Linked DNA regions of Canis lupus familiaris. The protein of the gene in region 1 interacts with the protein of each later gene in a pairwise test. Links are inferred from orthologs where the notes say so. Each region holds a gene or a part of one and is shown in the gene's direction. Other genes may lie near its edges.

Region 1 (15,841 bases):
AACCTCCCTGAAAAAAAAGGCTTACATTACGAGATGGTTTATAGGACAATTATTAAAGGAAAGCCTTTCCAATGTCACTGAGGGAAGATTAGGGGAGATGAGTACCAAAACTGGGTGACAGCATCTCTCATACCTCCTTGGCTGGTCTACCTCACCAGTGAAGATGAACACTGATAGCCTAATCCTATTAGCCAGTAAGACCATATGACTCCTCAAATGTACTGATACCATGTTCATCACGAACCTTTTTTTGTTTAAGGTATACACAGTTTCCCATAAAGACTTCTTTCAGGCAAAGATAACAAGAGAATGGAATGGCAGTGTCTCAGGTCCTTTCAAAGTTATGTTTCCTAAGGGGCATTTGTTTGCACTTATACATTGTACCTTATTAGCCTGTCACCAGTCAACTCCCAAGGACTTGAACTGCTCTTAAACACATTTTTTAGGGGCGCCTCGCTGGTTCAGTCAGTAGAGCATGAGACTCTTAATCTTGTGGCAGTGTAACTATCAACTAGTAGATGTCAAAAAATGACAAGTACCAAAAATCAAAACCTCATGAAATTGAGCCCCAGGTTGGGTATTAAGATTACCTAAAAATAAAATCTTCAAAAACAAAACAAAACAAACCACACCTGTAAAGAGATTCTTACCCTATAAAAGTATTTCTCAAACTGAGAGGCATCAACATTACCTATAAAAAATGAAGATTTTTGGCTTCTACCCTGAGCTAAAACAAAAGCTAGAGGTACTTCTTATTTTTCACCTATTTATTTGTTAAAGATTTTATTTGAGAGAGAAAGAGAAAGAGAGAAAGAGAGAAAAAGAGAGAGAGAGAGAGAGAAAGAGAACTAGCAGGGGGAGTGGCAGAGGGAGAGAAAAAGAAGCAGGCTCCCACTGAGTGAGAAGCCCAACATGGGGCTCTATCCCAGGGTCCTGGGATCATGACCTGAGCCAAAGGCAGGTGTCTGACTGACTCAGCCACCCAGATGCCCCACAGAGGTACTGTTTTAAAGAAAGTACAGGTGATTCTTATGCATACTAAAATGAGAGCTGCTGCTAAAATCTGCTCTTACTAAACTATGCCAATCTTGGACTAGGCTTAAATTGCAATAAAAAAATCCGCAGTGTGCAGAAGTTTTATTAACCTGTCTAGAAAGAGAGTTCTTTCATAGGAAAGCAGTTACTATACTTAGATTATTTGATTCTAAAAACCAGTTCGTTTTCAAAGAATTAAGGCAATTTGCAATAAAATTTAAATAGGAATCATCGAAATAGGAAGGTAACAAGTATGGACACTAATAATACAGCAAAAAAAGGTTAATACACAAAACAATCAAACATTACAACAAACAAATATTACATTTACCTTTGAAGGTACCTAGCAAACAAGGCAAAATAAATGCAATGAAATACAACAAAATAAGATTTAAAAAGGCTGCATTCCACTTTTCCTGTAAATAGTGGACAAATTAAACAGTTTTTATTAAAGATCGTTTCTTCATGTGAAAACTTTTATACCATTTGTAAACGGGTAAGAATATAATTCCACAGGCAGTCCTTCACAGATACTCTGATGCAGCAATCCTTTATATTTGTTCACTCAAAGCTGATTTGAATCCATGTAAAATTTGAAAAAAACAAAAAAACAAATAGCCTATTTTCAACTATGAGCTCTCAATTGGACTTTTAACAGAGGCCAGTAGTCAACTCAAAACATTCTTCTGTAAAGAGGTTATATTGTTTTCTTCTTCCAACAGGAGAGAATTCCAGTTCAGAACAATGCAAGGGTAAGTGCTATCTTAGTAACCACAACTTTATAGAAGCTTAATCATGTTGGCACTGTTTCTCTGAGGTAGGTTAAGAATTCTATTCTCTTGGTAGAAAAGAGCATTTTCTATTGCAGGTTAGAATGAATATTTGTTTTAAAGATAATTACAGGCAGCCGGGTGGCTCAGCGGTTTAGCGCCACCTTCAGCCCAGGGTGTGATCCTGGAGACCCGGGATGGAGTCTCACATCCAGCTCCCTGCAGGGAGCCTGCTTTTCCCTCTGCCTGTGTCTGTGTCTCTGCCTCTCTCTGTGTCTCTCATGAATAAATAAATACAATCTTAAAAAAAAATAAAGATAATCATGCCTACTTTAAGGAAATTGACTGAATTAGTCCACTAGATGTTGAGTATATTCTCCATCTGACCACTGTAGCATTGCTTCAACATAAGGATTTTTGTTTTGGCACTACTGTTGTTTAGTGCTTTTTTTTTGTTTGTTTTTGTTTCTGGTGGTTTTGTTTTTTTGTTTTTTTGTTTTGTTTTGTTTTTTGCTGTAAAGATACAACAGTTTCTCTTCACTCCTGATATTGTTCCTGAATCCTGAAAGTTAATTCATGCCACCAGCACAGACTTAATGATCTTCCTATTTGCTGTCACAGCATTAGATATCTATCAGGTACATCTAAAAGTATTACCAAACTAGAAGAGGGAAAAGAAGCAGGGCAATGACAAAGCCTTACTATATTCCTTTTGATACTAAACAAGCTGTTCCTTCAGAAGAAAAGTGCCACCTATACTTTTCATAAATGTGAATGAAATTTGCTAAGTTTTAAACAGCAACATGGAATTTTTCCCTAGTTCTTAAGATTGTTCTATTCTTGTTGCATCAAGTTGACAGTTTAATAACTGCTATGAAATGCCTCATAATCTTGGCTGTTTTTAGAGACAAAATATACAACATACATTGATAGAATGAGCAACTGTAAAGTACATTTTCTCATGCAAGAAGTCGAGACTATAGAAATGTTTTCATGGGACATCTAACAAACCATAATTTGTTTCAATAATTTGAAGATAAAGGTTTTACCCCTTCTGCAAAATCAGTCAGACTATACTTTGTATCATTGTAAGGCCAATAGCCTTGAAGAGACAAATAGTTTAGCTAAAATTGAGATGGGGGGTGACATGCAGGATAGGATCTCAGCCTTTTTTTTTTCCCCCCCCGATTCAGAGTGATCAACCAAATAAATTACAGCAAAAAGTAGTAAAATATCCCAAACAGGTCAGGTTCTGAACACTTCAAAGTTATTTTGGCAAAAAGTAATAAATACAAGATAAATAATCCTTCAATTTTTCACTAGTCGTCTGTACAGCATTCTACATTCTATAGAAACTTGAGGCTGACTTCATCATTAACTTAAGCAAGTATGTCTAATACTTTTTACATTTTAAAAAAAAGGAAGTTGCTTATAAGGAGATAATGAACTTAAATTTCTCCTGAGGTCTGCTTAAGATGTCATCTTTGCTAAGTTTGTGAGGAGATTTTTTTGTTTTTAATTCCTGGGGAAAGGTATAGGAAAACTTTTTGAGGAACTAAGTAGAAAATGTTAGTCTCTGGGTCTTTGTCACACACACAGCGGTGTTCAAATTGCATTCCTACTGTGTGTGGTGTATACACAAACACACCAAATACACAAATTAAAAAAATCCAATAAAATTTACCACACACAAATGCAATTAAAAAATTTAAGACTGCATGAATTGCACAAGGGAATATTAATTTTTTTATCCAAAAATTTGTATAGTTTAAGTTTATGACTTGGAAAAATAAAAATGAACTCCAAAGCAAATCAAATGAGAGTTAAGTTTATACCTAGTAGCCCGGTGTCTGTGTCGTCTTCAGTCTTTAAATTCTCAGCATGTAACTCTGTAAATACAAAAAAAAGGGGGCTTGAGTATAAACGATTTTACAATTTAAATAGAAGCTCAAAACCTGGAAAAATATTGTGGAGCTGTGGAAAGTGCTCTGAAGTCGGAAACAAAAGGGTCCACGCGCGAATCCACTACTAGGTGTGCGGCCTTCCGAGGGAAATCCAGTCCGTCGGGGCGCATCGCCCAGTAAGCGGGCTTCTTGGAGTCGCTGTGAAAATACCCGGAGGCTGTGGGTCTCCTCTCGGCACCCGCCGCGGGGCTACTCAACCTCGAGGTGGCGGCGCTCCTGCGCGGCCAGGTGCCTGCGCGCGCCTTCTGCGATGCTGTCGCGCGGCCTACTAGGGCCCCTTCCTCCGTCCTCAAGGGACCCAAGCCCAGGTCGCAAGGGTCGTGACCCGAGGAAAAGGGGCCGCTCCGCGCTCAGGGACCACCTGCACCGGCAAGGAGCCCGGCGCCCACGTCTGCACCGCGGCTCGCGCCCCGCGTCCTCGCTCAGGGGTTCCCGGGAGCCGCCCGCCGGCCCGCGGGGGCCTGGGAGCGCGGGGCGGACACTGCGCGCGGATCTCCGACCGCCGCGGCCGAGCCTTCCCGCCGGATCGCACACCGCGCGCACGTCCTCTGTTCCACCCGGCGGCTGTCTAACCTCACTCGACGAAACACAACTAACGACCGGGGAGACCAGAGGGGTCTGACCCCGACACCAGCGCACGTCGGCCGAGAGCCACGGACTCCATCCGTAAGAGCAGAGCCCGGGGCTGTGGGGCGGCGGCCCGGCCGTCCGAGCGCGCGCGGCACCGGCGCCGCCCCACAGCCGCCGCCTCAGCGCCGCCGCCTCAGCACCATCGCCTCAGAGCCACCGCCTCCACGGCGCCGCCGGCCAGCCTGTCCCACCGCGGCGTCGGCCCACCTCGGGCCTCCCACCTCGGGCGCGGCCCTGCCCGTTCGGGAAACACACCGCAAGGGACGGGTGGGCGAGGCCGGGCGGGGGGCGGGGGGCGCGCGTCAGTACCTTTCACCACCAGGTAGGCGATGGCGAGGAGGAAGGCGACGAGGACCGCGAACAGCAGCGAGCACAGGATCGACAGCACCCGCACCGGCCGGCGCCGCGCCGCACCCTGGCCGCCCGCCGCCAACACGCCGTTGCGCTTCTCGGGCAGGACCGGCGAGCCGTCCCCGCCCCCGCCCCCGCGGAGCAGCGGGCGCTCCGCGGGCTCCGACGACGCCCCGGCCGAGAACTCCGCCCGCAGATCGCGGGCCACCGGGTCGCACCCGTCCTCCTCGTCCCCCTCCGCGTCCCCCCACCCGCCCCCCGCGGGGAAGGCGAAGGCCGGCCGGGCGGACGCGGCCGGGGTGCCGGGACGTCGGCGCAGCGCAGGCGGGCGCCTCCCGGTCTCCACGAACGACATGGCGGGAAAGGCCGCCGCGCCCGCGGAGGGCGAGACCCCCCCGGCCCCGCCCCCGGCCCCGCCCCGCGCCCGCAGCAGCCAATCAGCGGCCGGCCCCCGCCCCCGCGCCCACCACCGGCGAGGCGGCGCGGGGGTGCACCGGGGTGCGCGTCCGGGCGCGGAAGGCGCTGCGCGGCCTGAGGCGAGGCGGGGCGCCCGCGGGCCCGGGCGCGACCCCAGCTCGGGGGGCAGGACGGCAAGCGGACGAGCGCCCGGAGAGCGCCAAGCAGGGCCCGAAGGGAGCCAGGTCCCCGCCCCCCGCGGGGCGTCGTCCCGGCCGGAGACCCCCGCCCCCGCCGCGTCACCTCCAGGCGCGCGCGCCCCGCCGCCCCGAGGCCGCGTCCTGCCGCGCCCGGTCCTAGCGCCCGCCGGGCTACGGCCCCCTTCCTCCGCCGCACGCCCCGCGCCTCCCGGGCCCCCCTCCCTCCCGGCGGCTCGCCGCCCCTCGCTCCCCGCCCCCCGCTCTCCTTCTCATTGTTCTCCCCGCCCCTATCACAACTTGCCTCCCCGCCGTCCGACACGCCTCCGCCCCGCCCCCTCCGCCCCGGCGCGGGCTCTCCAGCTGGTGCGTACGGAGCTCGAACCCTCGCCTCCTCCCCGCCCCTCCTCCTCCGCGGGCAGCGCGCGCCCCGCCCCGGCCCCGCTACCGCTACGAGCCGGGTACCCCCCCTCCCGGGCAGCCTCAGGTTGGTAGGGCGTACGGAACTCGGGCGGAGGGGGTGAAGGTGGCAGGCGCACTGCCCCGCCCCCTGCGGGGTGAGGCGGTCTGAGCTCCCTCCCCCGGGGAAAGTTGGTGGAGTTTTCCCGGCGGAGGCGCAGAAACTTCCTCCGTCCCCCTCCCCCCTCCATGCAGGCGACGCCGAGCGAGGCTGAGGCTGGGGGCCAATCGCCGCAGAGCTGCGTGTCGGAGGCGCACTCTGATTGGACAGCGGGGAAGCCCGTCAGCCTGTTGGCCCCGCTGGTCCCGCCCCGCAGCGCAGGGCAGCCTTTAACCTTTGGCCCCGGCGGGCGCCAGCCACTCAGATCGCTGCTTGTTGGTATGTGCAGCGGCAGTGGCCGCCGGCGGAGCAGTCTGAGCCCGACGATGAGGCCGGGGACGGGAGCCGAGCGTGGAGGCCTCATGGTGAGTGAGGCGGCGAGCCGCCCTCCGGCGCGGGGTCCCGGGGACGGGGAGCGGGGGCTGTCGGGCCGCAGCGCCCGGGCCCCTCCCGGCGGCCCCCCGAGGAGACGGCCCGCGGCGAGGCGTCGGCGGAGCGGGGCGAAGCGGCACAATGAGACGCGGAGTCAGAGGCCGGCCGCCGGTCCCGAGGGGCAGAGGCCGGGAGCGCGCGGCGGCGCTCGGGGCGGCGGGCTCCGGGGCTGGGGCGGGGCGCGGCGCGGGGGCGCGGAGGCGAACCCGGACGTCCCCGCGGCTGGGCCTCGGCCTCGGCCTGGGCGGCGGCGGCGGCGGCGGCAGGCGGCTGGGCCTCGGGCCTCGGGCCTCGGGCGGGGGAGCCCCGGAGAGCCGGGCCGGCCCGCGCCCGCGCCCCGCCCCGCCCCCGCCCCCGCCCGCGGAGGGCTTCCTCAGGGGAGTGAGCGGCCTGCGCCGGGCTCCGGGCCGCCCCGGGGAGGGTCCTCCCTGAGCCGAGGAGCGTGCTCTGCGGTGCGGGTTCTGCGGGACGCACCCGCGCTCGGCGTCGGGCGTCCTTGGGGACCCTGGCCTCGCTCGCCTCTCCCGGAGGCCGCGCTCCTCACGGGGAAGTCGGCGAACCCTCGCGTCAAAGCGTGAAGTCAGCGTGGAGCCGGCCCGGGAACGGCCCCTGTTCGGGCGCTGGCTACCTCGTACCCGTGAGGAACAACAAAGTCGTGGCTCCCCGGACCTGCTCCTGCGCGGCGCCGGCTGTTAACGCGCTGCAGCGGCCTGCTGCGGAAATGAAATCTGTGTTCTCTTTGCCCAGTGATTATTTTAATTTTTTCTCCGATTACTTTGCGATTCGGCCGGTGGCGAGCCCGTGTAAGTTCCGGTGGGAGGTGCATTTTGTTTAAGAAAACAAAGTACGAGGCAACCCGGTGATGGGGTCCCAGTTGGCCTGACGCTGAGCCACTCTGTGCGCGTAGCCGGCTTGTGCGATCAGTTTTTTGAGAAGCGTTCATCGTCCCTTGCTCGCTCTCACGTGTCCCTTGTTTTCCAGATGGGCCACCCTGGCATGCATTATGCCCCGATGGGCATGCACCCCATGGGCCAGAGAGCCAACATGCCTCCTGTACCTCACGGAATGATGCCGCAAATGATGCCCCCTATGGGAGGGCCGCCAATGGGACAAGTAAGGATGCTCCTGTTTCGTTTTGTCTTCGGTTATCGTTGTGTCAAGATTTTCAAAACCTGGGTCAATACTTGCAGTTATTTAAGGATTAGTCTATGCCAAAATAATATTGTCGAATAAGTCAAATGCTAAGTCTAATCAAATTTTGAAAGTAAGGAAAAAGCCTTCTGTTTTAAAGATTTATTTTCTACCACAGCAGAACTAAGAGTTCTCTTTTTAAGTAGCTGTTTGTGTAGTCTTTTTAGCGTCATGACTTTATTTTTCCGAGTATGTCAATTGAAGTTAAATGTTTGAAGAGTGATTATTATTTTATAGGTCAACGTATTTTATGTCTATGGACCACGTAGATGCATAGAATCTAAAAATAGCAATTGCTTAGGCCTTTACCTTAGAGTAAAGTTTATTCCTGAAATAATTTCCTCGTGTGTGTGTGTGTGTGTGTGTGTGTGTGCGCGCGCGCGCGCGTGCGCGCGCACTCGGTGGGGGTAGAGCAGGGAGGTTCTACTCTGATTTGATTCTTCATAGGATAGTGCCATATAGGGGGTTCATTTTCCACTTACACTGTTTGGTTTTTGTTTTGTTTTAAATGCTCATTGCTTCTGCACTCCTGCTTTTGAGCTGTCCCTTTCATCTCCAGCATAAATGTAAATGGACATTTTGTGGGAGTGATTTGGAACAAAAGGTTTCAATGCTGACTCAGTGAATTCAGTAGAACTGAGTTCCTAGAGAAGCATCCAAGAAAGGTAACAGGTTCAGTTACCATGAATAATTTCATGCTCCCTGTCAGGTTCTGTAATACATAGACTCTTTCTTTGGTGGCTGAGTTCTTTCCATTTGAGTATCTCAATAAATCATCAAAAATTTAGGCTAGTAAAATATTTTGGAAAGCCAGTCAATTAGGTATGGTCTTTCTGCTAATTAATACTGTTTGTGTTGATAATCAGTTAAGCCTTGATATTTTAAGTTATTGGTGAAATTGTGGTGGAGAAAGGAGCTTACTTTGTGTCTTTTCTCTTTTAACCTTAGGAGTAGAAGGGCTTAATGTCAAGTGATTTTCTTCTTTTTAATTTGAAATATAGCCCTTAATTTTGATAAAAATCTATATTCAAAGACACCAGGCCCAAAAGATTCTGCCTGTAGGAGTTGAGTGTTTTTTTTTTTTTTTTTTTTTTAATAATAAAAGAACCATTTATTCTGTTGTTCTGGAATAACACAAGTTTTAAAACTCCCTTAGATGATGGAGAAACAACTCTGATTCCTCTTCTGTTTCTTTCCATCTCTAAGCAGCAAGGAGCTCTTCTGGTTTTCTTAGTAGAGCTGCTCTAACTAGATAATGAGCTTTAAAAAATATTTATTCTTTAAATGCTCTGGTTCTTATTTAAAATTAGTTTCTTTCCACAGAAAGATAAAATAAAACAATTTGCTACTGCCAGATGCTTCTCTCTTTTCTGGGGCCTTCTGTTTCCATTGGGCCAATCAAGGTAAGTTTTGCAAGGGATTGACCTGCTTACCCTTGCTGTAATGGTGCTATTGCACTACCAAACCAAGACACCAGCTAGTCATTTCTAGTACAATGCAGATTTTATTTATTTTTTTTAAGTACTTTTGTGTATTTCATTGGCATAAGCTGGTCACAGTTTGTTTTATGGCCCTTTCTCTTTAGCTGTATTAGTGATCATCTTCCTAGTAAGGTTACTTGATATTTGGTACACATCCATTCAAATACTCTTAATTTTACCTTGAGATTTTCTTCTTTTTTTTCTAGACCAGTGTATGCCATGTACCTTTAAGTATACCTATTTAGATGTTTAAAAGTCTCTCTCTCCCTGTCAGCTCCTGTTAGGAGAATGAATGAACGACTTAAGGGTCCAGCTCTTAGGGTCCCAAGAGAATCCCCACTGTTTTTCCTTAAAATTATATACTTCTTTTGTCTTCTTAATCTCTTAACTTAAATGGGGCCCAAATCTTGGTAAAAGTAATTCTTTATTTGAGCTTTCGTAACAGACTGGGAGGGCATGGATAATTTAAATACTCAAGTAATCTAGAATTCTAATTTAAAGCTCTGTAAATAACTACCTTAAAAATAAAAGTTGACAGCACAGTGGATCTTTTTCACGACTACTCACTCAGAGGTGTTAATGGTCAGAAGTTCATGAGAGACAGCAGGGTGCCTGTGAATGACACAGTTCAGTGCAGGGACACAAAGTTGGTAGGGTTCTGCTGTTCAATTTTAAAAAGTTAAAAAGTCAGTTTACAAATTTTTTAGAGTTTGGTCCTGAGGGTGATGGAACCTTCATGTATGTTGCCTACTTCACATTACTATCTCATTCTGGGACCAGCCGAAAATGAAAATTGGTGCTAGTCTTACTCGCTAAGTGCTTCTGGTGTTTGGAATGTTATATGGGCACAACAGGAAATTTTAAAACTTGTTTGTAAAATAATATGCAGACTGGACAGAAATAACAACCTTTAGGAGCCAGAAGTCATAATTTTTCAAATGAAAAAGTTATTTAGGTTAAAAGAGTACTAGGTTTTCTGAAGGTTTTTTTTTTTTTTGTACTTATTCAGGAGATTGACTACAGTGCCCTTTATAGAATTCAGGTTGAATCTGTTACTAAAAAAGAGATTTCATCTCAATTATCTATAACATAGGTTACATTTGCTTCTTACTGTACGTTAACTTCATATGGGAAAGTTGTCCTGGTTTTACAGGATTATACACTCTTATAGTTGGAAGGGACTGTGAAAGTTGCATGGACTTTAATATGGAAATTAAATAATGCTTTATCACTGGTTAAAAAAACCGTTAGTAATATTTTCCCTACTTGGTGGGAATACTCAAAAATTTGCAGTAGAGATTTGCCTTAAGATGTGATTGTATGTGAGGCCATTTTCCACTTATATGGTCAGTAATGTTTTTCTTTTAAAATGTTCTCACCTCTTACAAATTTTTGTTGTACTTTCTACACAAAGGACATGCAAGTCCTACCTTTATCACAGGTGATTTTGCCCTCACTAAAATCCTAAGAAAGTCCTCCTAGTTGGCTCTTTGTTTTTTTCATTTTTAATTTTTCTTTTAATGAGAAAAGTGGAGTAAAAGCCGTAAGGTCTCTTTCAGCTCTAACAACCTATGCTTCAATTCAGGTCATTTGATGAGAAGAGTAGGTGATATGTATGAGATTTTATGGGTTGATATGTACATAAAAACAAAATTCTTTAGTAATGCCTCCCTAATTCTAATTATTCAGTACTCTTTTTGCCTTTGTTCAGTAAGTTTGTAAATGAATGCTTTTCACAAATGAGTTTGATTTTCTTGTTCTTACATTGAGTAAGGCAGGCTTTAACAGATCTTGAGTCTATTCCTGCTGCCATCTGGACCCAAGTAGTATATACTGCCATGCCCAGGATACTCTTGACAAGTTTTGAGCTGGTTTTCTTGCTTCAGGCCTCCCCCCTCAGATTCTTTTAGAGTTCAGCATGTTGTCTCCTTGCCCAAGAGCCTCCAGTGCTTTTCTGTACCTATGGTCTAATGTCTAAATTCCACACTTTATAACTTTCAAGAATCTCCCAGGTCCAACTTAGTGCATGAGTCTGAGCTGCATGCCTTCTCGCTCCCTAATTTGAACCCAGGCTGTTTTCTCTATCTTGAGTGATTGTATCAGTTCATGACTGAACTCATGCTGTTCGTGTCCTCCTGTCCACAGCTCACTGCCACCATGAACTTTCCTTTACTTACCTAAGTTCTACCATTTCAAGTTTTGCCTTCCTCCGGAGATCCTCAGCAATAACTTTGCCCAACATACACTTTCCCTTCAAATTATTAAAATAAAATCCTATGTAATTTGCCTGTAACTCTGTTGCACTTATTTGGGATTTATTTTTGTTTTATGGTGTATTTGCTCTTTCCAGCATGTAATAGACTGTAAGCTCTTAGAGGGCAGGGCCTATGTTTTGTACTTTTTAAGAAGTCCACAGGTGCTGAGCACAGTTCTCAGCACAGCATGGATGCTCAGTAAAATACTTGTTGAATGAATGAAACAAAAACATATTCTTTCCCACATTATAGGCCATGAAGATAGATGTTACATGTGACTATTTTCAGTGGTTACTTGTGACTTTACACTGTTACAACTTAATTCTTATTTTTAGTGTTTGTCTCTCTAGTTTTTTCATTTGATAAAAATGGAAGATAAAATGTAATATTTTTTGGTGAATAAAGCAAAAGTACGTATTTCCATTTATTTTTAAATAATAGACAACTATGTTTCTATCTGTTTGATTTTAGTGATGGTCTTTTTTAAAGAAGTTTTACCACAAAGTTTTGCATACCCTCAGGGAAAATGATGATTTGGAATATAGGCCTTCCAGAGAAATCCAAAGTGTTGGTATCTTAGATTTATCTGACTGATTTTGACCAGTTAATTTGTTCCTGTTACTTTTAAGTGACCTTTATTTTGGGCATTTACAGAATCCATGCCATTGAATTGGGCATTAGTAAGTGACAAAAAGGCTTTTTTCCCATTAGGTTATTTGTTCATAATCTTGAATCTCAAAAAAAAAAAAAAAAAAAAAAGAAAAAAAAAATCTTGAATCTCAGTAACTTTCTGTGTGCATTTATGTTACCCAGGCAAGTATTTTTTAAAAAATAGATCGACCCAGACCTAGGTGCTTGTATAACTTCTCGGCTGTGTATATAGTTAGATGTTGATAGATTTACTAATGATACTATTTTTTTTTTTAGGTAGCATTTCAGTTACATATGAACTCATCTATTTAAAAACTTTAGCTAGAGTAATGTTTCTGAGTATGGAGAGTATTTGGAGAGATGTTAGAAGACAATGTAAGTGTGGAAGAATGGAGTGTACTCCTCTCCTTTGAGATTCACAGGACACAGTGTTTCCTAAAGCTGCTGGGAAGTCTTGCAGAAGCCTTTTAAAACTATTTTTCTCAGTGTTTCTTGATTGTGGGGCTTTTTTTAGCCATCTTCCCCTCCTCCACTTCCCCAGGCTCCCCTTCCCCCCCCCCCCCCCCCCCCCCGTTACATGTTTATTTTGCTTTGTCTAGCACATTGCATGGAATTAATGTCGCATGGAATTACCATTTTGTGAGAAATATTGTATTGAAGCTGTTTTTCAATTTAGTCTGGTCTTTAGGAGGAAGAGGCAACATCGAAATTAGTATTAACAGGTATGATGAAGCATTTAAAGAGTGCAGTGAATGTATTCATTAAGTAACAGGATTAAAAAGGAAAGAGAACAAATCTCAACAGCTTAACAGGTTGATTTTTAATTGGGTTTGTTAGAAATGTTGATGATGTGACTTAAAATCCTCATAAAACTGAATCAGTAGCTAGTAAAGGTACCTGAGTATATCCCATAGCTCTCTACTGGGGTATTTGTTTTTTAACTAGAGATGATAAGGCTAAGTTGCAATGATTTTTGGAGTGAGTAGATTACTGTCTTGTCTAGAAGTTGTTGGTCTTTCATTCTTACTTTTTCTATACCTTCATATTACTTTTAGTCGGTAGGCATTTAAGTCTCTTGGCTGTGGTGTTAAGATGAAAAACGGGGATCCCTGGGGTGGCTCAGCGGTTAAGCGCCTGCCTTCAGCCCAGGGCGTGATGCTGGAGTCCCTGGATCAAGTCCCACATCGGGCTCCCTGCAGGGAGCTGCTTTTCCCTTTGCCTGTGTCTCTGCCTCTCTCTCTGTCACTCATGAATAAATAAATAAAATCTTAAAAAAAAGAGAAAAATGTATATATCTTACACTGATACGTACCTTATTCCCTCCTATGCCTGGTATTCCCTCACGTGCCTGGCTGAACTTTACTTTTTTTTATCTTGTAACTGCTGTGATTTGGCTGTCATGATATTTGTAGACATTTGGAAGTTTTATGGAGATGAATCTTTTATATTTCTTTTCTTTCTCTAGAAGTAATTAGACATTCCTCTTATTAAAGAAAAGTTAATTGTAGTACTGGTAGTACTAAAGATAATGGTGTTTTGCATAATGGGCTTTAAGGAAAAACTGCTTCTAATTGCTTCTTTTTTACTTGATACCGTGTACTTAAAGTGGAAATCTGAGTCTTTTCCAGATCTGAGTGATGCTGGTAGCTATATGTTTTGAAGGACTAAACATGTCAGCAAGAGAGGACTGTTCTGAGTTGAAATATAGTTTGCTTTATCTACAGCTTTGATTTTTTTTTTTTCCCCCCTTAAAACTTGTTTATCTTAGACTTACAAAGTTCTCACTACAATACAAATATAATTTTACTCATTAGGACCTGATCTTCTGTTTGGGTTAAGACTTTATCTTTTGATTAATGAATGAGCATTAAGTTTCTGTCCAAAAACATGGGCTTTGGTATAGTTTCCTTGGCCATGTGCTACAAGACAATGGTTATTCCTCGGAAAGGTGATTTTTCAGTAATTTCAAGGTTATTACATATTTATTAGGATATATTAAATACAATAGAAAATTTTTTCGTCTATGTGGAAACAAGAACTGGTCATAAAATTGTCTCTTCGAAGCATTTGAGTTTCTGCTACGTCCATGTATCTGTCCTGTACCCTGGTAATATGTACATAAATGAGACATGCTCCTTGTTCTAAAGGTTCCTGATAGTGAGAAGAAACTAAAAAGCTGAGTTTCATATAAACAACATATAATGATTTAAATAGATCTAAAACTGAATCTAGCTTAAAGGACTCGGAGTAGGGGATATTGACAGTCTTATGTCCCTCCATACTTGTGTCCTAGAGGGCTTACATTCAAAAGAAGGCTTAGACGACTCTTTAGAGGAAGTTTTAAAGTCTAATTCTGTGTGACTTGAGACATCACTGTTTGTATATATATCCCTAATACGTTGAGTTTTTTCTTTTTTCTTTTTTTTAATTTATTTATGATAGTCACACACAGAGAGAGAGAGAGGCAGAGACACAGGCAGAGGGAGAAGCAGGCTCCATGCACCGGGAGCCCGATGTGGGATTCGATCCCGGGTCTCCAGGATCGCGCCCTGGGCCAAAGGCAGGCGCCAAACCGCTGTGCCACCCAGGGATCCCTACGTTGAGTTTTTTAAAAATTTAATTTATTAAAATGATAGTTTTTATTTATATTTAAGTTTTTGAGTCTGTTTCTCTTTATATTTTCTTCCTCATTTAAAAAATTGGGGGTTTACTAAGAGGCAATGGGCTAAGTATCATTAATAATTTAAACTATTAACTTGTTCTTTTGCATATAGTTTTTTTTTTTTATGGTTTCAGGAAATATGATTGTAATACTTAATCTGTGTTAGAAGGAATTATTGCTATCACTGTCTTTGTATGTAACTTTGAGAAGTTGATATACCTTAACTGAATTTGATCCTTCTGAGTCTGAAGAGGGTTGGCATTCATTCATAAGGTAAGTTAGTGATGTAAAAGTGGTTTTTAAATACTAGACTTAATAGCTTCTGTGTATTTGTGGAATTTGACTTAAACATATTAAAAGGAACCAAGTTAGGCAAGAATCCGACTTTTTAGATAATTTGCAACTTAAGATTTGCAGAAAGAATGGTTTTTAAAAATCAACCAAATTTAAAAGTTCATATTTAAACACAAGATGCTTAGTTTGTGTGATTTCTTTCCAGCAGGAAAAACTTCAGGAAATAATTATGAAGAAAAGAACTTTTGAAGTGTGAAAGATTTTCACTGTGTGAAGATTTTCACTTTTGTTTTGATATCGTGAAAGAATTAGGCTAATTTAGTTTTATGTTTTTTACAATATAATGTGTTGTAGAATTAACAATTGCTTTTATTACTTTACCTTTAGTTTTAAAAATAATGAAAAGTGAAGCAGGCTTGTCTTACCTAACGTTAGGAACTTTCTAAATTGAGATACTAAGAATGAGCCAACTGTGCAGTGCTTTCTAGTTTCTACTTGTTTTTTATCGATACCTGTATTTCTTCTGAAGGCATCTTGATAATTGAGCTTAATATCATTAAAAGAACAGAAGTACACATTGAAAAATTTTTAGGTAGTACACATATACAAATGGTTGGCCATTTAGGAATGAAATTTACCAAACGGTATAGCTGAATTTTTTTTTTTTTTTTGGTTTTAAAAACTGCCAAAGTGTCTGTAAAATTCAAATATATTGTATTTTAGACAGTTTAGCTTTTGTCTTACATGTGTTTTTATCTTTCCCATTTTCTCCTGTTTCCTAAAAATTTGTAACAATATATTTGCCAGAGTAGCTTAAATGGAAATTTCTAAAGCTCTACATGGCTTTGATTTTATAGTGTGCTTCTCATTAAGCTTATATGGATTAACACTTTGTAGCTTTAAGAGTGATGTGGCAATTGGAATTTATAGTGGCATCATTGTAGCAACTATGTTAAGAATTTGTTCCTTTAAC
Region 2 (15,153 bases), on another chromosome or scaffold:
ATTTACCAAAGCCTGGGTGATGTGGAGTGGTACATAGAGATGAAGCTGTCGTCATGGCAACAGTGAGTGAAGTATCGAAAATCCCCAAGGAGAAGCCAGTGCTCTGAGAATAGGTCACTGGAATCGGGGACTAACAGGTTGGCCACTGGTGAACCATTTAGAAAAACTCCTGTTTCTTGTTATAAGCTTTTGTCTTTGCTGTCCAAGTTATTAGAACTATAGCTTTACATTTTTTTATGTAACATCACTAGAAAGTACTGTCAGCGTTACACTTGAGTTAGATAAATAGCATATCAGTTTATCTTAATGATGCTGTTATAATTTGATTTATGCATAGCTTTAAATTGTAGTATGATCTTGGTAATTACAGAGGAGGCATCATTTTTGTAGCCTTTAGTAGGTCATTTTTTAGTCCTGATTACGCATTTAGAATCTCCAGAGGAGCTTTTAGAGAGTACCACTGCCCCAAGTTCTGTCATGGGTTATTTGAACTCTCCCTTCAATTTTTTGTAGTTATGTAATTATCATTTAAGCTCAGAATAAATGGCTAAATTGAAAGGGAAGAGAGCCTTTTCGTTTTCACTAGTTTCCAACTTAATTTGCTTTAGCGATGCAGCTCATTTCCAGAAAATTAAGCATTTTCTGTAATTATAAGGAGTCCACACATGCATCCTTGACGGCTTGTCTAAAAGAAGACAATGAAATCTTCAGACTGATGCACCCACTCACTGGTGAATGTGGTGTGGTATTTTCAATACCTATGTAGATAGGAAGTTGGAAAGGTATTAAGTGATCTTGTCGTTTAGTCCAACCTACCCCGGTTTATTTTGGTGGCTCTAAAGGTGGTGGCCTTCGGTTTGTTTAAAAACTGATAACGAAGGAACGTTCCTTTGGAGTAGGCATTACACATTTCTGTTTATTAAACAACAGTCTGGCTCCCTGTAAAACTACTTAATCTCCTTTTAGTGTATAGTCTCTTGAAGAACTAGTTGCAAATTTTCTAGGTTTTTCTAGCACATGAATGAGACTAACCATGTTTGGGTGTATTCCTATTTTTTCATTTTTTTCTTAAGTTGTATTTCAACTAATTATACTAAAGGAAAAGTTACTCTGAGGGACCAGATAAACTTCAGTGACCAAAGCCCAAGATTTCCTATTAAATTTGAAAATTGTTCTTTTCATGTAAATTTAATCTGAAAAATCTGACAAACTTAAAAGCAGAGGAGAGGTAGAGTTAGGTTTGGTTGGTTATTGATAATGAAGATTATTTTTTCTCTGAAAAGATGACAAGTTTTCTTTTTAAGAGGTTTAAGAGTGTCACCTCCTAAAACTTACTGGGAAGTTTGCCAAAATGAAGAAATTCTAGCGAGCCTCCATTCAGTTTTATGTTCTTGCTGCCATAGGCAGTGCTGATTGATACTTTGTTAACATAAGTAAGGAAACCACTTGCTTACACAGTTTTCTCTTCTTACTGAGGAGGCAGGGGACACATTTTTCTATTTCTGATACAAAGTAATCTTTATAAGGTAGTTATAAATACATGCTCACTGAGCCTTCCTTGGTTTAAAACCCATTCTTAACAAAACGAAGACAGCAGTTTACATGGCTGCAAAGTTAACTTTCAAAACTAGGTTAGGTAATAGAAGGCCTAAGCAAGAAGTTGAATACATAGTTGAAATTGTAGTAAATGGGTTTGGTTTCCTTAATTGGGTTTTGGTGTTCCTGGGTTTTTGATACCCAAGGAAGGGAAAGTGAAGATTGTGGCAGAATGAGTGGAAAATAACAATTGATTTAAGCAGAATTAGTGACTGAGTAAGCCTGATTTGGGATCAGATAGCCATTATTCAATCAAGTGGTTAGTTAATTGCAGGAAAAATGAATTTTAACAGAATTTGAAGGCAACTCTAAACCACGCTTCGTAAAAGACGTAGAGGAGTTTGCTCAATATAAATAGGGGAAAACAAAACTGATTTTATAAAATTTTATTTTTAGGATTGTAGTGGTGCAGATTACAGTCTGAATTGCCGGGGGTAAAGGGTTAGTAGTAGAGTATCTCCAGCCTTAGAAGATGCCTGTCCTAATACCTGTCGAGGGAGGGCCATCAGATCACTAGTTAGGAAAATCTAAGGTTTGCACTTGACCTTTTTCCAAGTTTTCTGTTAATGATGATAAACCGTGAAAATTTACAAGTCTTAAGATTTTTGGGTTACATTTTCATGTATACATTGATTGCTCTGAAGTTAAATTAATTTTCTCTCAAAGAGCAATTAACTTGTAGCCTATCGTCCTGATAAAGAAGATTCGTTGTTATATTTTTATGTTTGAAATCAGTCCCCTGTCCGGTTGGTGGCCTCATTCCTCACACTTGGCATGGCTGTAATGGGAATTGAACTGCGGAAAGGCCATTTTCAGCATTGTTAATTTAAGTAAGCTAGTTTCCATCTTGTCAAATTTGCCAACCTTTTTCTTGTTTTTGGTGTATTTTATAAAAATCGTAGTATGAAATAATTTGAAGTAGTCTTAACAAGCATTCCAGTTGCTGTGATTTAGAATGGGAGTAAGCAGGTTTTTAGAAAGCAGATTTTTTAGATGTATGTCACTAGTTTAACTGTAGCTCATTTCAGATTGTTGTCTAATATTCAAGTGAATGTATTTAAATATGAGCTTACGTTTTTCTGCATTTGGTATGTAAGGTAAAATGAGTTGTGAATTGGAGTAATGTTCAGAATGACTATCTTTTAAAAACAGGTGTTCTGCCCAGGGCAAAAACTTGAATATTTTGGCTGAAAATGAATTCAGTATGGGGAAAAATATTTACATGTTCTCCCCATATACATATTCTATAACCACGCCTTAATGAAAACGTACTTTCTTGGTAGTTGGATCTAATAATGTAGCAAATGAAGGACATTGGGAAAATGAAAATCCACTAGTCCTGACTAAAAACAAACTTCTCAGTAAGAAACCAATTTTCAGTTCAAGACTTAGTCTTTTAACTGAACATGCTATTTCCAAAGCACTTAACCATTGATAGCTTTCTGCGTTACAGCTTTTGGAGCTATCAGAATTTAGTCTGGCACAGAGAAGCTTGAGCATTCTTCTGGTTCCCTCATTACAGTCCCCAGTCTCTTCTTCATCACATTCTAAAGAAAGTTATTCTGCCTAATAACAACTCAGACCTAGTGTAAACTTACTTTTTATCAACTTTTGGGTTTGAATCTAATTTTCAACACATTTCTTTCTGTAATTGAGGTCAATCTTTAGTTATCAGATTTTCTTTGACAGTGGTGGATTCTTAGAACAATTTGTTTAAGCAAAGCACCCATTTAGGGAATCTGGATTAGCTAGCTGCCTACCATTTTTTTCCTCTCCAATTTTTACTTTGGTCCTAAACTAGCCAAGGGTTGATATTTTAGAAAAACAAGTAAAATCATTATAATCTATGAAGTCTTTATAGTAAGTATTTTCAAGAATCCATTAGCTTTGTCATTGTAAAGTCTAGACTGATGGGGTTTGTGATGATAAATCAGTAATCACTTAAGTTTATTTATATATAAATGCATACACACCTATAAGGGAATCCTATGAAAAAGATCAACAAAGGCTAGATAAAGCATAGAGTGAATTTTTCTCTACAGAATCGAGTTAGTTTCTATAGAAACTTAGTTAAGTATATGTTTAATTAGCATAACTTGGACAGCACAAGATTAATGCTTTAACTTGTTTGCAGGAGTTTAAAAAGCTGGTTTCTGTTGCCAATAGTTGGTTGGAAGGGAAAATGGAGATGCCACAAATAAAATTTTTTGGATGTGCAAAACAGTTTTGATTTTATTTCTTACAAACTATAGGACTCCAAGCCCCCTGATCCTTGATCAGAACTACATTAACACCAAAAATCAAGTTATCAAGGCAGAGAGGAGGGTGCTAAAGGAGTTGGGATTTTGTGTGCATGTCAAGCATCCCCATAAGGTGAGTTGTAGAGTGCAGAAATTAACGTTCGTAAGTATTAGGGTTTTTCTTAAAATTGTATCTTACGTGAATTTGTTACGGTTATTTTGAGAGTTGACCTTGGTTTTAAATAGCATCCTTTAGGATATTGAAATTTATCAGTAAAATAGGAGTCAAAAAGACCTGGGTTCAGACCTTCACACTTCATTATGTGGACACAGATAAGTTCTTTTTGCCTCTGTGGTTAACCCAGCTTCCCTACCTAGAAAACAGACTGTGTGTGAAGTACCTTATTCTAAGAGTAAATAATAATACACATCTGCAGAAGTACCTGGCATGCAACTGGTTGCTCAGTAAAATGTTCAAATCATGGTGGCTGCTCACTGTTCCTGTTCTTGTACGTTTATAGATTTCTCCAGTATCTCTTTGCTTACATATGATCACTGCAGTGGTTACCATGAGGGTGCTCTGGGGATAGGACTGTCTGTGATAGAAACTTGTCTCTGCCCTTAGCTGTGTGACTTGGGCAAACATATCTGTTCCTCAGGTTCCACATCTTTAAGATTGTAGAATGGGAATGATTGATTCTACAGGTCCAGAAAGCTCTGACCTGAACTCTCGTGGAGCTATTTATATTGTAGTATTTATCATGCTTAAGTGAGATAAGCTTCACTGCAGAAAGAGTAGTGTTTATTTACTATATAATACCCACTGTGTGTATTAAATAATGTGGTCATAGGTCATACTCATTGTATAACTTTAAAAACATAGTCTAGGGTTTTTGGACATGAAGAATTGTATCTTGGGAAATTAAGTGACATTTCTTACCACAGCATCTGTCACATAGTAATGTGTTCATGAGATACTAGGTATTGTTTTTAATTGACTTAACTCATTTTTTTTTCCTGTGAATTTTGGATCATATTTTAAATTTTTATATGGACTGTAGTAGCATAATAACCCACGTTGCCTATAATGTGCATTTTAGGTTGGTCTGTATTATCTATGCAGTTTGTAGAAGCGTTAAAACTTGTACCTAACATTTCAGTTACTTATATATTCATTGAACTCTGAAAGACCCACCGATATGCTAAATTGAGTTTTTTTCCCTTGTCCTTCAGATCATTGTTATGTATTTACAAGTCTTAGAATGTGAACGTAATCAAACCCTGGTTCAAACTGCCTGGTAAGTTGCTTTTTTACATTTCTTTCCTAGCCAGGAAAACAGAAGCAGAAATAAAGTAAGTTTCGTTTTCCCTTTCCAAAATAATGAGAGGAGTTTGTTTTGGTGCTTTTTGTTTTTTTTGTTTTTTAACCAAAAGGTAAATAATGCTTATTTCTGCTTCCTGTTTTCTTGGCTTGACTAATTGCTTTCAATGGAGAACTCAATTTAACTTTGTTCTTTTTTCTACTCTTTAATTAAAGGGTAGTCCATGATGGTAAGTCATAGAACTCTGCCCTCTGCACTTCAGCCCATGACCTCAGGATGGCCTGATTGGCTGCCCTGCTCTCCAGCCAATCCAGTGCAAGCTCTCATCCGAGATTCACTGAAGTGGTCCATATCCATCTGGCAGCATCTTCTAGTTCTGTCGGGGTGTCAAAAGGATTTGTATATTTGCTTCTAGAAGTAACTATTCAACATGCCTGTGTATATAATGTATACCTGTAACTATCAAAATGAGTAGTTCATTTTTGATAGATTTGTTGTCCAGCCAGTATGAATAAAATGATTTTTTTTTTTTTTTTTTTTTTTTTTTTGGTTAGGAGTTTGACTTAGATTTCTAATTTTAGTATGTATAGCATGGATTCTGTCAAAGGAGACTACAGCTTGCAGCTTAAAATGGGTGCCATTCCCATACTGGATGCATTGCAGCTGCTGGACTACTGAGGCAATAATAATAGTACATTTTTAAGAGAGATGTTAATATTAACATAAGCACTTTAGAACTTGGACTTTTGACATGAAGATGTTTGATTTAGAGGGCTAGCTTATTTTAAGGTAAAACAATTTGGTCCAGCTACAATTACTTTTTTAAGACTCTTTGATATGCAGGACTTAAGTAAATTTTGTGTTCTGGACTTAATGACTACCATGCTTCTTTAGGAATAAGTATATACTAGTGGTATTAGAAAAGTCTAATTGCTTTTATAAAATGCATGACATTTTTATATATGCTCTATAAAACATTTAAGCAGTTTTCGTGGGTAAGGATTTTTAAGAAATAGTCTTCTTAGTTTAACCTTTTAAACAATTTGTGAAGTTTCTTTAATACTTTAGGGATATTGCGGGGAGGGTTCACTAATAAAAAAGTCCAGCATTTTATTAACTGAAGTAGTTTATTGCTTTTGTTTATACTCAGTCACAAAAAAGGTATGTAAACAAGGCTGTTTTGTATATTTACTGCTCTTCCCTATCTAAATTTTCTGAAGTAGCTTACTTAGTTGTCTTAATATAACTTGGTGAGTGCTTACTGAAAATGCCTTTTTACCCCTGTCACAATATTTTGAGATTTTGAAAGAACTTGGTTGACACTGCTTTTTATTGTGGATAAAGGAGAGATGGTCAATGATTAATGGCTTGAAGTATTGTTGGAGTGGTTTATCATTTCTGAAACTTAGTTATGTCAAAATTGACTTTCAAAGTATTGCCTTTTATAGAAATATATAAAAATAAGTTTTATTTGGAATAATATGGGATTATTTTATTTTTTTTTTTTTTTTTTTTTTTTTTTTTTTTTTTTTTTTTTTTTTTTTTTTTTATGGGATTATTTTAAAGGACTTTGGTCATTTATAGGAAAACTGGAGAATGGTTCTAGTGTTAAATTCTTACCTCTTACTGATTTTTGAGTTTAAGAATTGTTATATGCTAGAATATGAGGATATGAATATAAATATGAGAAGAAAAAAGAATAAAGTAGATTGAGTCTCCAATTTTATGTAAGCTTCAGACTGGCTGTTTTGTTTATGTACAAAGCTTATGGTTGAAATATTTTTCAGGAATTATATGAATGACAGTCTTCGAACCAATGTATTTGTTCGATTTCAACCAGAGACTATAGCATGTGCTTGTATCTACCTTGCAGCTAGAGCTCTTCAGGTAGGTATATATAGCCTGTTTTTTCTATAGGATAAAACACAAGACTTAGCAGTCCTCCTAATAAAAACTGAAATTTGATCTAAACCATTCTGTTTTTATGGTTTAGATTCCATTACCAACTCGTCCCCACTGGTTTCTTCTTTTTGGTACTACGGAAGAGGAGATCCAGGAAATCTGCATAGAAACACTTAGGCTTTATACCAGAAAAAAGGTAGTTGTTTACGCATGTTTAAGTGCTAAGAGTCTAAACTAGTATAAGGGGAAAATACTTACTTCATTTTCTTCCATTAGCCAAACTATGAATTGCTGGAAAAAGAAGTAGAGAAAAGAAAAGTAGCCTTACAAGAAGCCAAATTAAAAGCAAAGGGTTTGAATCCCGATGGAACTCCAGCCCTTTCAACCCTTGGTGGATTTTCTCCAGCCTCTAAACCATGTAAGATATATTCAGAATTGAAATGACTGGGCACTGAAGGTGTCTGGTTATTAGAAAGCTTTAGCATTTAGGGGCACCTGGGTGGTTCAGTCAGTTGAGCATCCGACTCTTGATTTTGGCTCAAGGCATGATCTCAGCCTGACAGGCTCTGTTCTTAGTGCTGAATCTGCTTGAGATTTTTTTCTCCACCGTCCCCTCTCTTCCTGCCCCCCCTCGGCCCTAAATAAAGAAGTAGATAAATCTTCTTAAAAAGAAAGCTTTAGCAGTGGCATAGAAACAATGCTAGAAGAATCTGTTACTGTTTTTTCTCATGTTAGTCAACTCAAGATCATACTTGAAAGCAGGGTACTTGAGTTATATTTAGAAACAACTTTTTGGCCCTCTGTTAAATCCAATAGGTAACATGACTTTGTGTTATTGGGTTGTTTTTGTTTTTTTTTTTTTAAGCATCACCAAGAGAAGTGAAAGCTGAAGAGAAGTCACCAGTGTCTGTCAATGTGAAGACAGTCAAGAAAGAACCTGAAGACAGACAACAGGCTTCCAAAAGCCCTTATAATGGGTGAGTGTCCTTGAGTTAGAAAACTGGTCTAAGGAATCTTTTATGTTTTTAATTTCTAACACACTAAACATGTACCTAAAATAATGGGTTTGTGTGTGTGTGTGTGTGTGTTTTGTTTTTGTGTTTTTTTTTTTTTTTTTTTTTTTTTTTTTGAAGAGTAAGAAAAGACAGCAAAAGAAGTAGAAATAGCAGAAGTGCTAGTCGGTCAAGATCAAGAACGCGATCACGTTCTAGATCACATACTCCAAGAAGACAGTAAGTAAATATTCTCCTAGAGAAAGGAGTCTTATTTGGAGTTAGGTTCCTACTTTTTAAAAAATTTAATGTAGATGTCGCAGTTGGGCTACATTTAATATTTTAACATGAGGTAAATTACGAGAAAGGAGTTTGGAAGTATGTCCTGCCTATACATGGCTTTTCTGTTTTGGGGTGGTGTAGCTTATGAGCTATTCTGTTTTTGCCCATATTTTGGAGAGGTGTAGGGGCTGACCACAAAGTGCTATGGAAAGCTGTAATACCTTGTTTATAATGTGAAAAGAGTTTTGTTCAATTTCAGTTAGAAAATATTAATATTTTATTAACTGTTAATAACCAATACTCAAGTTGGCCAAAGAGTCTTCCCAAGTTAGCTTTGTAATTAGTTTGCTAGCTGCTTATGTCTGTTCAGTGGCTCTTTTGAGCATGTGTGAGATATTCAACAAAAAGCATAGTTTTGTTTTGAAGCTATTATAAGCACCACCAAAATAATTTGGTCCCAGTAGAGACTGAATCTAAACCTCAAATTTTTATTATCTAAGTTATAATAATAGGCGGAGCCGGTCTGGAACATACAGCTCAAGATCAAGAAGCAGGTCCCGCAGTCACAGTGAAAGCCCAAGAAGACATCATAATCATGGTTCTCCTCACCTTAAGGCCAAGCACACCAGAGATGATTTAAAAAGTTCAAATAGACATGGTCATAAAAGGAAAAAATCTCGTTCTCGATCTCAGAGCAAGTCTCGGGATCACTCAGATGCTGCCAAGAAACACAGGCATGAAAGGGGACATCATAGGGACAGGCGTGAAAGATCTCGCTCCTTTGAGAGGTCCCATAAAGGCAAGCACCATGGTGGCAGCCGCTCAGGACATGGCAGGCACAGGCGCTGACTTTCTTCTTTGAGCCTGCATCAGTTCCTGGCTTTGCCTATCTATGGTGTGATGTATGGACTCATAATCAAAAACATTAAAACAAACTGATTAGGATATGATTTCTTAAAACCCTCTAGGTCTCTAGAAACACTGAAGACATTTTGTTTTGGAAAAACTATGTGTTTTTTTTTTTTTGTTTTGCTTTTTGGGGGTTTTTTGTTTTCTTGGCTTTTTTTTTTTTTTTTTCTTTCCCCTTTTTGGTTTTTGTTTTGGTTTTTGTTTTGTTGTTTTTTTTTTGTTTTTGTTTTTTTTTTGCACATTAAAATGCCCTAGCAGTATCTAATTGAAAACCATGGTCAGGTTCAATTGTACTTATTATAGTTGTGTATTGTTTATTGCTATAAGAACTGGAGCGTGAATTCTGTAAAAATGTATCTTATTTTTATACAGATAAAATTGCAGACACTGTTCTATTTAAGTGGTTATTTGTTTAAATGATGGTGAATACTTTCTTAACACTGGTTTGTCTGCATGTGTAAAGATTTTTACAAGGAAATAAAATACAAATCTTGTTTTTCTAAACTGCTTCAAATATCTTATTTAAATAAATTATTAAAAAAAGTAAAATTTTAATAGTAAAGTGCTTGTACTGATTTTCTGACAAATTTGCTCTTTTCCTCCATTAGCTATGGTTTGAGATTATTAAATACAGTTTTTACCTGCAGTGGGAGCTATTGTAAAAGTCTTAGCCTTATATATGGAAAAAAAAAAGGGTTGTGTGCAGCAATGTAATATTAAATGTTACATTGTAGCACTAAGCCAGTCTTATAATGAAATCTATTTGCACATAAATAGTATTTATGGTACCATTTCTTAAATGAGCTGCCCTCTTGAACAAATGAAAACGTAACATGACAAATCAGATCCAATTGTTGACTTTTAAGGTTTTTCTTTAAATTAAATTAGATATTTAATGAGGATTTTTATCTAAGCTAGGAAGATTCAGTAATAAAAGCTCTCCCCATCCCCCCACTTGGCTGGGGCTGATAAAGTCTGACCACTGAAGTTTTGTTGTAAAAGCCAGAAGTCCTATATCCAAATGAATACTTTGTAAGTTATTCATGTTGAGAGTTATTTTCCCAATAATTTGGAAGTGAATTTAGAAATCTTTTTTAAAGATTTTATTTAGCAGGGTACAGGGCGGGTGGTGACAAAGACAGGACACACACACAAAGGGAGAGAGAACCTCAAACGGATTCCACATGGAGCCAAAAGCTGGGCAGACCCACAACCTGTAGATCCTGACCTGAGCCAAAATCAAGAGTAGATAGATGTTCAACTGACTGAGCCACTCAGGAGCCCCTGAATTTAGAAATCTTAAAGGACATATTTTATAGTTAAAATAAGTTTTCCATTAATTTTTTAATACAGCTTGATACTTTATTTGTCCACTGGACTTGGCTCCAAATGATTTGCTGTTTCAAAAGATGAAATACACGCAGAAAGATACAAAGATTCACTGCCACTTAAGAGTTTAAAAGAAAAAAACTGAAGATAATTTCAAAAACCTATAAAGCATGGTCACCAGTGGTGGGCACCAGGGCTGGAAAAAGAAAGCCAACTAAGGCAACTACATTGAAGGAGACAAGACTCCCTTGGATTTTAAAATGTTGGGTGTGCCACTTTATTATTATTATTTTTTTAAGATTTTATCTATTCCTGAGAGAGGCAGAGACAGGGAGAAGCAGGCTCTACGGAGGGGAGTCCGACGTGTGGGGACCTGTGGGACTCGGGTCTCCAGGATCGTGCCCTGGGCCAAAGGCGGCGCCAAACCGCTGAGCCCCCGGGCTGCCCTGGGTGGGCCCCTTTAATAAATCAGTTGTTGTAACTAGAAAACAAGCCCGACCTCAATAAAGAGCGACTTCTGAAGGGGTGAATAGCACGAAGAGCGTTCCTTCTGTATATGATGTCGCACATACTGCCCCGAACTGTAGCTGTTTAAGAGGCTAACCTATGTCTACGCAGGAAGCCAGTTATTTCCTTTACGAGATCAGCACTGAAGAAGGGCAGCGGCGGCCGTCCACCGAGGTCCTCCCTGTCTGACCAATTAATCCTGAATTCTTGATCGTGCTTAATTCTGTACCTACTTTCCCCTGGTTGGAGAGAGCACCGTGGCTGAGCTTTGAAGACCAGATGCAGGAACTCGCCTGCATGCGGGATGGGATCTGTAGTGTGTCAGGTGGCTTCGCAAGGATGTCTCCATGTATCCTAATTTTTGCCTTGTGAGACCGGTGATGAAAATAAAGTTTTGTAGGTTTTTGTCAAGAAGTTGACAGTCTCATGCTGCTCTCTTTTTAAATATGTATCAATTTTTCAACTTCTGTTAAAGGAGATTTCTAACAGAAGTAGTACAATACCCATGTCTCTGCTCCAAAAATGATCGATTCCTGGTCAGCCTGCTTGTTCGTACCTACCAATTCACCATTCTACTTCCCACTCATTTGGAAGAAAATCCCAGACAACTGATTTCATCCCCAACTATTTCGGTCTGAAAGATCAGGATTTAAACTACCACAGTACTTTTTATTAAAAAAAATTAACTGTAATGCCTTACTGCCCAGTCAATACCCAGATTTTCCTATCTAATTTGTTTTTATAATTAGTATGTTTAAGCAAATTCATATTGTTACATTGCTTTTATTTTTTTATTTTTTTTTAAGATTTTATTTATTTTTTTATTTATTCATGAGAGACAGCGAGAGAGAAGGGCAGAGACACAGGCAGAGGGAGAAGCAGGCCCCATGCAGGGAGCCCGATGTGGGACTCCATCCCGGGTCTCTGGGATCACACCCTGGGCTGCAGGCGGCGCTAAACCGCTGCGCCACCAGGGCTTCCCGTTGCTTTTAATCACAGATTCTCCCATCCTTTTTCCCCTTACAATTTTAAAAAATTGGGTCATTTGTTTTGAGGACATTTCCACATTCTGGGTTTGCTCATTGTAACCCAGTGGCATCACCAGACATACTTTCCTATCTCCCGTATTATAAAGTTCACAGTTCTTAAGACTTGATCAGATTCAGATTTGAGGACTTTTTTTTTTTTTTTTTTTTTACTCTGAAACTTAAAAGTCTGGGGATTGAGGCTGTGTGTTATTCTAGAACTGTTAGTAGACTGTGCCTCATTCACTAGCTATTTCATGGAGTTCCCAATTTTTTTTTTTTTTTAAGATTTTATTTATCTATGAGAGAGGCAGAGACACAGGCAGAGGGAGAAGCAGGCTCCCTGCGGGAGCCCGATGTGGGACTCTGATCCCAGGACCGGGACCGGAGGCAGACGCTAGACCGCGGAGCCCCCCAAGGGGCCCCTGAGTTCCTGATTCTTAATCCACTAGTGCCTGCCCCTGACAGCTTTGTGTGCGAATCTCCCCATTGCGCATATGTTCTCTCATCTTGTGTTTCCCCGCTACAGCCATGAGTCCTAACGCATGCGAGTTGTTTAGTATTTGTTCTGATGATCCTGATTCTTAAAACTGCAGTCCTTTCATGTTATGGAATGTTAACACCTGTCCTTTATTTTTGGTTTCTCAACCTAAAGGAAGACCAGTGACAAGCTAAATCCCCTCTCCGTTTAAAAACCGCGATCGTCAAAGTGACTACCTTTTTACTGAGGTTCTAAGTTTTGTTTTCTAGCTTTAAATATTGTCACTGCTGCCATCAGTTTGTAACTGATCGTTGCCCTCAACCTGCGTCAAAAGCCACTTAAAGGTAGCTCTCATGAAAGTTTCCAAAAACAAGATAATTGCATGATGGTATTCATTGTCCTACGAGCCATTTTTTAACATAGGCTGTAATAGAGAACTGTAAATTTTTTTTTTAAAGACCAGATTTGTTTTCCCCAAAATCCATCTTATTATCATAGGGAGCTTAGTTTAGCTGGAGACAGAGAACGCTCACAGGGTTTGATAAGGAAAACCCATGATCCGCCCCCCCTCCCCACTGGGAGGATCGGGAGGGCAGCAGGATTCATGCTGTGGGCCTTGCTCCCCACGCATCCCCGGGTAGGGTATGTGTGTGGCTGCAACTCACAGCTTTGACTTCGTAACCATTTGAATTTTGTCTGTTTCTTGAATGAAAGGACCATGGCCTTCCCGGTCATCTCTGAATTGGAGCCACTCCTCCACTGAGGGGACTTGGCACGTTATCTAGCGTCTGGTCAGCCGCCGGCCCGGCCCGCAGCCAGGCAGGTAGAAGCGGGGCCTGCGTTTAGGTCTGCGGTTCCCGTAGTTCTTACTAGGACGCATCCCAACTATTGAGAAGCTTGACTTCTATGTTCCTTACGAACACGTAATTTCAGGATGCTGCTGCGCTGGACTTGGAGCTGATCCTGGACAAGGTTGTCACGGAAACCCGGGGCCCTTAGATCCCAGGTGTTCTCCTGACCCTTCTGTGTGTGCCGCGTCCGCTCAGCTCACTTGCAGCCCAGTTTCCAGTACAGAGGGAAGCCCCAGCCTGCCAGCGAGCGCGCCTCCCTCCCTCGCTCCCTCCCCTGCAGCAGCCATCGCCCCGCACCGGCACCCACCGAAGGTAGCAGCCTTTATGCCTTCGCCACAATCTTGCAAAGAGCAGCTAATGACCTACTTAAAGCGTTAATCCCACGTTCCTCTAATACGTTAAGCTTCCAGTGGTTTCCCACTCCACTTCAAATAAAATACAAGCCTTTGACTCTGGCTTGTACGTAACCCAGCCCTCGCCGGCCTCTTCCATCAACCAACCTCTCTTTCTCCTCCTCAGATGTGCACATCTACCCCCGAGCCTTTGCACTTGCCGCCTTTCCTACTTGGGAGGCTCTCCCGAAGCTTAATGTCAGAGGCTTCATCATTCGCGTGCCCTTCTCTTTACAGGGGGCTCCTTTCACACCCCATCTAAAATAAGCATGTCTGGGGATCCCCAGGTGGCCCAGCGGTTTAGCACCGCCTTCGGCCCAGGGCGTGACCCAGGATGGAGTCCTGCATCAGGCTCCCTGCATGGAGCCTGCTTCTCCCTCTGCCTGTGTCTCTGCCTCTCTCTCTCTCTCTCTCTCTCATGAATAAATAAAATATTTTTTAAAAAATTCCACCTTCTTAAAAACACACACACACACACACACACACATGAGATGTACAATCCCTGGTATCACGCACTGGCACCAAGCAGCCCTCTGGTTGGGACGTGCACACGCCCGTGCATTATCCCCCTTTCTACTCCCTCTTCATCACAACACTGAAGCCCCGTGTCAATTTGCATTTATCACCGACAGTGGGGTTTTTCTAGAATCCTGCTCTTTTGCTTGATACTACCTGCCTGGTCTTTTTGCAGTAGACCCCTGGCGTCACAGAGAAGAATCCAAGGCCTACATCTGTGAACGAGGCCTAGTGTGCATGGGATCTGGGTCAGATGAACGTCCCTGTCCACGGTGCCCAGCGTCTCTCGGCTGGCTCACCACTAACCTCACACTGGAATTTCCCCTTTGAGGAGCTTCCGCGTTGCTGGAGCACCTGTGGGAAACTTCCACAAATGGAGTCTTCCTGTTTTCATACAGAGCGTATGTATGACACAGCACATCTTTGTCCAGAGCACAAGGCGCTCAAGTCCAAGCCACCGTGACGTCCAACGCTCCAACCCCAGATCACAAAATTAATTTTCTGCTCAAAATGTGTTATTTTCTTGGTCCTTTTCAACCAAACCAACTTTTAGTCATTTAACTGTGCAGCGTGGATTAGCGGTGTACAATGAGGTCTTGTTGAAACTGGTAGGTCCCGGCAGACAGTGAGAAATTAGGAGTCTCGGCCAGTGAACTGTCGTACTTGAAAACAGTGGAGTTGCACCCGCCCGGCGTGTGCTCCCACCCCCCCACCCCCTGAGGAGGCTACGGTGGTAGGCCTCTACCTGGACACGAGGCCGGACAAGGCCCTTATGGCTAGAGCCAGGCCGGATACCTACACGTAATTAG

The links.
Region 2: the proteins of pre-mRNA-processing factor 40 homolog A (region 1) and CCNL1 interact in binary tests that used the Homo sapiens proteins (3 or more experiments, as listed by UniProt). The link is inferred for Canis lupus familiaris from reciprocal best matches to the Homo sapiens genes PRPF40A and CCNL1.

The regions. Positions count from the first base shown.
Region 1 is NC_049240.1:55,463,007-55,478,847, reverse strand, and holds the start of pre-mRNA-processing factor 40 homolog A, read left to right. Parts: upstream 1-5,883; 5' UTR 5,884-5,991; coding exon 5,992-6,267; intron 6,268-6,899; exon of another isoform or gene 6,900-7,137; intron 7,138-7,315; coding exon 7,316-7,447; intron 7,448-8,848; exon of another isoform or gene 8,849-8,880; coding exon of another isoform or gene 8,881-8,928; intron 8,929-15,841. Other genes in the region: ADP-ribosylation factor-like protein 6-interacting protein 6, read right to left, coding at 3,641-3,694, 4,709-5,105.
Region 2 is NC_049244.1:51,188,762-51,203,914, reverse strand, and holds the end of CCNL1 (cyclin-L1), read left to right. Parts: intron 1-3,848; coding exon 3,849-3,969; intron 3,970-5,069; coding exon 5,070-5,134; intron 5,135-6,945; coding exon 6,946-7,045; intron 7,046-7,151; coding exon 7,152-7,256; intron 7,257-7,336; coding exon 7,337-7,478; intron 7,479-7,925; coding exon 7,926-8,037; intron 8,038-8,193; coding exon 8,194-8,292; intron 8,293-8,834; coding exon 8,835-9,183; 3' UTR 9,184-9,747; downstream 9,748-15,153. UniProt on the Homo sapiens protein: Involved in pre-mRNA splicing. Functions in association with cyclin-dependent kinases (CDKs). Inhibited by the CDK-specific inhibitor CDKN1A/p21. May play a role in the regulation of RNA polymerase II (pol II).